Linked DNA regions of Drosophila melanogaster. The protein of the gene in region 1 purifies or fractionates together with the protein of each later gene. This does not show direct contact. Each region holds a gene or a part of one and is shown in the gene's direction. Other genes may lie near its edges.

Evidence for each region. The genes of interacting proteins can lie anywhere in the genome.
Region 2: the proteins of Ogdh (region 1) and Mpcp1 purify together in Drosophila melanogaster (affinity purification with mass spectrometry, with the first as the bait; one large-scale study listed by BioGRID). This does not show direct contact.

The regions. Positions count from the first base shown.
Region 1 is NT_037436.4:16,952,692-16,956,445, forward strand, and holds the start of Ogdh (oxoglutarate dehydrogenase), read left to right. Parts: upstream 1-2,130; 5' UTR 2,131-2,188; coding exon of another isoform or gene 2,189-2,251; 5' UTR 2,252-2,352; intron 2,353-2,634; exon of another isoform or gene 2,635-2,636; 5' UTR 2,637-2,851; exon of another isoform or gene 2,852-2,900; intron 2,901-3,072; exon of another isoform or gene 3,073-3,122; intron 3,123-3,754.
Region 2 is NT_033778.4:20,279,406-20,283,159, reverse strand, and holds the start of Mpcp1 (mitochondrial phosphate carrier protein 1), read left to right. Parts: upstream 1-2,032; 5' UTR 2,033-2,172; intron 2,173-2,222; exon of another isoform or gene 2,223-2,316; intron 2,317-2,550; exon of another isoform or gene 2,551-2,570; intron 2,571-2,714; 5' UTR 2,715-2,732; coding exon 2,733-2,925; intron 2,926-2,994; coding exon 2,995-3,754. Other genes in the region: CG16868 (uncharacterized protein), read left to right, coding at 1-1,010.

The DNA.
Region 1 (3,754 bases):
TAATATGCAAAGTCAGTTATCGGAACTTGAAGAAAACAATAAATTGTTTATGATGCAGTCTAGATCTAGAAGCAAGCGTGCTCCTTTCGAATTTATGGGTTCCTTGTATCATATTTTATTTGGTATAATGGATGAAGATGATAGAGAGCAATTAGAAGAAAATATGAAGAATTTGTTAGATAACCAGAACAACCTTGATAAACTAATTCAAAAACAAACATCTGTGGTTGATTCAACTTCTAATCTATTAAAGAGAACAACAGAAGATGTTAACTCCAATTTTAGAAGTATGCAAATAAGAATTGAGAACATGACAGAAGTTCTTAAAGAAAATTATTATGTTTATAAGGAATCAATAAAATTCTTTATGATTACGAAACAGCTACACTCATTGATTGAAGAAGGCGAAAAAATTCAAGCAGGCATTATAAGCCTGTTGATTGATATTAATCACGGTAGGCTAAATACAAATATTCTCAGGCCAAATCAGCTTAAAAAAGAAATTGCCAAAATTCAGCAGAGTCTTTCAGAGAACCTAGTAATTCCAGGAAAACGGTCAGGTACGGAACTTAAGGAGGTGTATACACTGTTAACAGCCAGGGGTTTATTCATCGACGATAAATTGATCATTAGTGCAAAAGTGCCTCTGTTTAGCAGGCATCCATCCAAATTGTTCAGGCTTATTCCGGTGCCAATTCGAAATGAAGATCGGATAATAATGGTGCATACAACGTCCGAATATTTAATTTATAATTTTGAGATAGATTCCTATCACATAATGACGGAAGCCACATTAAATCAATGTCAGAAATGGCAACTAAATAAGAGAATATGCAAAGGAAGTTGGCCCTGGAATTCAGCGAATGATAATGCATGTGAGATTCAGCCTCTAAAGCCAGATAAAGCGGCGAACTGCATCTATAAAACAGTAGTCGACTCTAAAAGTTACTGGGTAGAGTTAGAAAAGAAAAGTAGTTGGTTGTTTAAGGTTCCTGCGAATTCAAAAGTCCGTCTGCAATGTACTGGCTCTCAAATTGAATTGTTTGATTTGCCTCAGCAAGGAGTTTTAAGCATTGCGCCATATTGTACGGCAAGAACCGACGATAAAATTCTAGTTGCCCACCATAACATTCAGTCCGAAAGTGAAGAATTATTATCAACACCTTATATAGGAGAAGTTAGTGGAGTGCCGAAGATTATTTGGGATCCGCTGAAACTATCAATATTAAATCATACTGAGGAATTTGAACGATTGAATAATGAAATTAAATTTATGAAAGAGAACCATCAAAAATTGAAAGATTTACATTTCCATCATATTTCCGGACATGCTGGATTAATTATTGCTTTAATACTAATGATAGTATTAATAATATATTTCATACGGAAATGTGCTGTGCAACAAAGAATGCAAGCAATAACCTTTGCAGGTCCGTTGCCAGTACTATAAATATCAATAGTAAATAAACAATAAAATAATATAACAAATAAAAATATACAGTCCACTAATAGAAAATGTACTTCTACATAGAAAAAGCAAAATGTTTAAAATAAGTTAATTAAGTACAAATTGTTGAATTAAAAATAATATAAACCATAATTGTAATCCAATAAAATTAAAAGCCAGAAAAACTAGGCCCATTGAAATCTTAGTTGCAAAATAAATGAACATATATCAAATAAATACAGTCCACTACTGTTATAAATGCAACTAATATACTAATGTACATCTCAGCTTTGCTGGCCCTTTGGCAGAATGTTCACACATGAACACGAATATATTTAAAGACTTACAATTTTGGGCTCCGTTCATATCTTATGTAAATGAATCGAGAGCGATAAATTATATTTAGGATTTTGTTATCTAAGGCGACATGGGTGCATTGCTCAAAAACATGTAATTTAAGTGCACACTACATGAGTCAGTCACTTGAGATCGTTCCCCGCCTCCTAAAATAGTCCCTTAGTGGGAGACCACAGATAAGGTCCTCGCCGCTCAAGATAGGCAGATGTGCCCGAGCGTGGGACCTCGATAAGGCGGGGACTATTTACGTAGGCCTCTGCGTAGGCCATTTACTTTAAGATGCGATTCTCATGTCACCTATTTAAACCGAAGATATTTCCAAATAAAATCAGTTTTCTTACAAAAACTCAACGAGTAAAGTCTTCTTATTTGGGATTTTACAATGTCTTTGACTGTATATCGGACCAAATTACCGGCTACTGTCTGGATCAATACAGCAGATATTAGTCTCTGTCTAGTGTGCGTAGCAATTAAATGGTTTAGTGCAAGTTGAATTCCAGTTTTTGTGTCAGGCCGCGACTATTGCGACTATTCCTGAGAAAAACAATGTAGGTGGCTTCAAACATTGTTGGAAATTACTAAACATATGTTTCTCGCTTTTCTTTTGAAAATTTCGTTTCAATGTTTCTTAAATAACTTGATATGATTTCACGGATATTCAAAATGGAAAAGTGTCAAGCAGAAGTCAACCCAATCGTGGTTACAAAAAAATAATAATAATAAAATAATAATAATAATAATAATATCTTGAACCTATATTATTAAATTAAAGGTATCAAATGGTTTAAGTAGATTACGGAAAAATTTTGAATTCTTTACATATTACTTACAGACTTTTTACATCGCGCCTTTCATGATCTTCCACAGTGGCGCCATCTGCAGTCGCATAGGAATAAGCTCTGTATGCTAGTGTTACCGCTCACCAAAACTGTAAAAATAATCGATATCTGGCACAAAACGATAGCGTTTCGATATGTTTGAGAGTCCAGGCCGTGCGCTAGCATTAACAGTCCCACCACTAACGCAAAAGTTTTCGGCTGTAAAAACGTAAATATTTAAACTTTAAGCAAGTTTAGTGTAAAAATAATCAAATCATGTGCGTTAATTTGCAAAAAGTCTGCGGGGCTATGGTCCATTTAGACTTAGTACTGGATTCAGCGGAAAACTCGCATTTCGCGTGCTTTTCACTTGTCCCACATTCGAGGTCCGCTTTTGCATCATGTGGAATTCCAGGAATTACCATCATCGTTTCAGCGATCAATGAGACACTGCCGCGTGTTCCCCTTTCTAAAAAGTGCATTTAGCAGGCATTTGATTGGTATTTTCCAACGTTTTTCCCCATTTAATTTCAAGGACTGTTCTTATATAATTGGAAAAGTGCAGGTGGGCGTCTCGTCGGCGGAAAAGCGCTTGCGCCGGCCGCCCCAAATGAAAAGTGAAATTTCGCAATGCAAAACAAGCGACGTCGGCGACGTCACATGTGGTTTTTTGTAAAATTAACTTGCCGCATTGATGACGCAATTGACCGAGTGCCGCGTGTGCTTTTCTCCCCGCCGCCCAATGAATCATCAATCAAAAGCAATGGCAATAGCAACAGCAAACCGCAAAGAAAGCGCGCGGCCGCATTGTCTGGGGCAGCACAACTAGTTATTTTTTTCTGCTGACGGATGTGGATCATCTGCCACAACCTATCATAAGTCGGCTGCAAAGGCCCCAGATCGGGAATAGTAACCACAAAAGTATTATAGTACTACGGAACCTCTACCTCCCCCTCGCACCCCGCTCCGCAATTACTTCATGCCCTTGGACCGCTCTTCTTCTTCTTCGCCTAGAGGGGGCTCGTCCAGGGTTTTTTTTTAATGGAATGCAAAACCCCACTGAGTGCGTCTCTCTTGCCTTCTTATACCCTTTTATAGGGTATCATGGCAATTTAATGTTTTACGCCAACTA
Region 2 (3,754 bases), on another chromosome or scaffold:
GACAATTTCCGTACTGTCCACCGCCAAGTGAACATTTCATTGCACTTCCACCGACCACACAGCTGCTGAGTACTCTGCCGAATTGTCCTGGTTCTGCTGGCATATGCGAAACGTATTCCACTCAAAGAGAATGCCTCGGAGTGATGGGCTGCGAATGGTGCCAGCTGGATGTGGACGGCAATAGTTTTTCGACCTCCTTCTGCTCGTCCCAGGCGAGCTGCTTCAACGGAGTACTTGCCTCGCTGACACCCTACGGTGAGCTGGACGAGATGGAACTGCTGGCCGCCCACAATCCGCAGAGAGAGCAGCACGCTTACTCTGCATTTGGTCCGCTAGGAGGAGCCATTGTGGTGCTTGTCATGGTGATTGGCTTTGCCATCTACTGCTACAGACACAATCTGGATGCGCAGACGCAGGAGCACTTCTATGTGGATTCGGTACAGGAAGAGAATTACGGCTTGCCGCTGTCCAGGTTCAACTTTGACGATTGCAAAGCGCATGACGAGCCGCCTCTTGGTGGCGGCTATGACCACGCATCTGCACAGCGGCAGCTGATGCACGCGGCGGATATTTCGCCCTACCACGTTTCCAGCGGCAGTAGCTATCGCCGGCCACCCAACGGTGAGTCGGATCATGGCTACAGCACAATGACGCCGCACGAGGACAGTTCCGATCAGCAGTGCTTCACGCTGGCGGAACCTTTGCTGCTGCACGACAAGCGGCACAGCAAGTCGGACACCATGTCCATATCCACATCCATATCGAGTCCCACGAATCGACAGCAGTCCTCCTCGCAGCCAAACACGCATCCCTACTTGAGCAATCAGCCGACCTCAAAGACGGAACGCTACAAGCAGGTGCAGGCCACGCCCTCGCCATGTCGCGGAACGCCAGCAGGTGGTAGTGTCTACGGGCAGACGACGTTGCCCCTCGAGGGGGATAAGACCCGGCCACACTATATCCTGGCACCAGTGACGGTGCACCGGCACATGGAAACTGCCGAATCGTAGTCCACAATAGCGTTGTTAAGTTTTAGAGCGTAAGATGTCCGCTTGTTTGCCAATTTAGTTATGTAAGTTTCCAAAATGGGCAGTTCAACTGCCGACAGTCCAGAATGCTGGGCCCGCATTCCAAACCCGCAATGTGTTTTGTGAGCTCGCGGTGGCCTCCATTGTTGGCCCATCTGTATCTATTAGAGCCTCCGTGGACGAGACGAACACCAACTATTAAGTGATGACATTGTTTCTGCCATTTTTGATCGATGTATTGTATTTGTATTGTATTGTATTTTACTGTAATTTATTGCAAAAAGTATTACTATATTATGTGCAGCTATATACTTCCGATATTTTTAGCATTTATTTGATAAGCACCAACAACAGAAATGTACTTACTTGTCTGATTGTAAGATACCATGTCGTATATCGTTTTTTGTAATAGCCCCTAAGACTACAGAGTTACTAACTACTGATTTTAGTAATACACATCTATAATAGCATTGTACGTTTCAAATAAAATGTTTAAATTTTGCAAAAAAAACCCACAAGATCTTAACCTTGATCCAGAGCGATCGGATGAATCGATTGGGCTGCCAATTGCTCGTCCTCCGATCAGCTGGTCGTACGTTAATGAAATTATTTTTACACCTATACATTTTATAAGCAAACCAGACGCTGCTCAATGGGCTCTTTTTTTGCTGTGGTGGCCAAGAATTGCCAATTTATAAATAACAATCTCTATTCGGGGGTTGTCAGGTGGCTTTTAGAGCAAAATTAGCTATGGATCTTTGGTGTAAGTTTTTACCCGATACCCAACCATTTCATAACCGTCATTAACCGATGTCATAAGGCTGAGATAGCCAACATATTCAATATCTTCAAAAAGAAAGTGTCTTTATACTGATTAGCTGTGCATTTGCTGTGTAAGTTCTTACCCGATACGCAACCGTTTCGAAACCGTTATCAACCGGTTGGCTTTGCACTCGGCTGGCAACCCTGAACCGAAGCTGCTAGCTCTCACTATACCATTGCAGCCACTGCATTTGGTTTTCTGGTCTGGCGCACGACGAACGTTGCTTTGGGTCCCCACATTTCAGCCCAACAACGACTCTATACTTCAACTATATCTAATCCCTATCTGCACTTCACCTCCTTCGATACCCCGCACTTTGAAGTGAGTGTTTAAGTTTGCTCGGTGTTTTGAAAACCGTTCTGTTTTCGAACATTTTCGAAATATACGCAAAGTGATACAATACGTACTCTGGGGAGAACATTACGCAATGCATAAAAAGTGTTTGGCGAATGAGAAAAAACAATAGTTATGTAAAAAATAATGCAAGTATACATTCTCAATTTCAATATAACTTGATAAAAAAAAGAAAGTTTATAAAAAAAGTTTTTTGATGAAGTGATTTCGGATTGAATATATTATTGCCAATGCTTATCATTTACTATTGCTAATTAATTTTTAAATTATAATGATACTAGAAAAACAGTTTTTAAATAATTGTATAATCTTTCAGGATTAAAGAACATAACTTCTATGTGCTCAAACGTTTTTGACAAAAGAAAGTACGAAATATTAATTTATAGATGTAAAAACAATTAAAATAGATTAAATGTATTTAGTGTAGGCGGTACCACTTGCAATTTAGTTTGTTACATCATGACCTTAACCTTAAACCCATTCGAAACCCTTGATCTCTGTTTTCAAAGGCACTTCTCTAAGGCATCATGTTTAAGTCCCTGTTCGATGCCGCGCAGAACTCAACGTTCAAGTCGCCATTCACTAGCGTCAACTGCCAGTCAGCCACGCCCACTTCCGCCCCCACATCCACCGCGGTGGTGACCCCCACCCTCAAGGATGTTGCTCCACGCCAGCTGACTCGAAACCACAACATCGCTGCCGCTGCCGTTGCCGAGGGTGGTAAGTGGGACAAGTCCTCCTGGAATCACCAATGAGTTGGATATATAAGTATTGTTAATACCTCTGCAGACTCCTGCGAATTCGGCTCGAACCACTACTTCCTGCTGTGCGGCCTGGGCGGCATCATCTCGTGCGGCTCCACACACACCATGGTGGTGCCCCTGGATTTGGTCAAGTGCCGCCTGCAGGTGGACCCGGCCAAGTACAAGAGCGTGTTCACCGGCTTCCGCATCAGCTTGGCTGAGGAGGGCGTCCGCGGATTGGCCAAGGGATGGGCACCCACCTTCATCGGCTACTCGATGCAGGGTCTGTGCAAGTTCGGCCTGTACGAGGTCTTCAAGAAGGTGTACGGCGATGCTATCGGCGAGGAGAACGCATTCCTCTACAGAACCGGACTCTATTTGGCTGCATCGGCATCCGCTGAGTTCTTCGCCGATATCGCCCTGGCGCCCATGGAGGCGGCCAAGGTCAAGATCCAGACCACGCCCGGATTCGCCAAGACATTGCGCGAGGCTCTGCCCAAGATGACCGCCCAGGAGGGCGTGACCGCCTTCTACAAGGGCCTGGTGCCATTGTGGATGCGCCAGATCCCATACACCATGATGAAGTTCGCCTGCTTCGAGCGGACGCTGGAGCTGCTGTACAAGTATGTGGTGCCCAAGCCACGTGCCGATTGCACCAAGGGTGAGCAGTTGGTGGTGACCTTCGCCGCCGGTTACATTGCCGGCGTGTTCTGCGCCATCGTCTCGCATCCGGCGGACACAGTGGTGTCCAAGCTGAACCAGGCCAAGGGTGCCTCCGCCCTGGACGTGGCCAAGCAGCTGGGTTG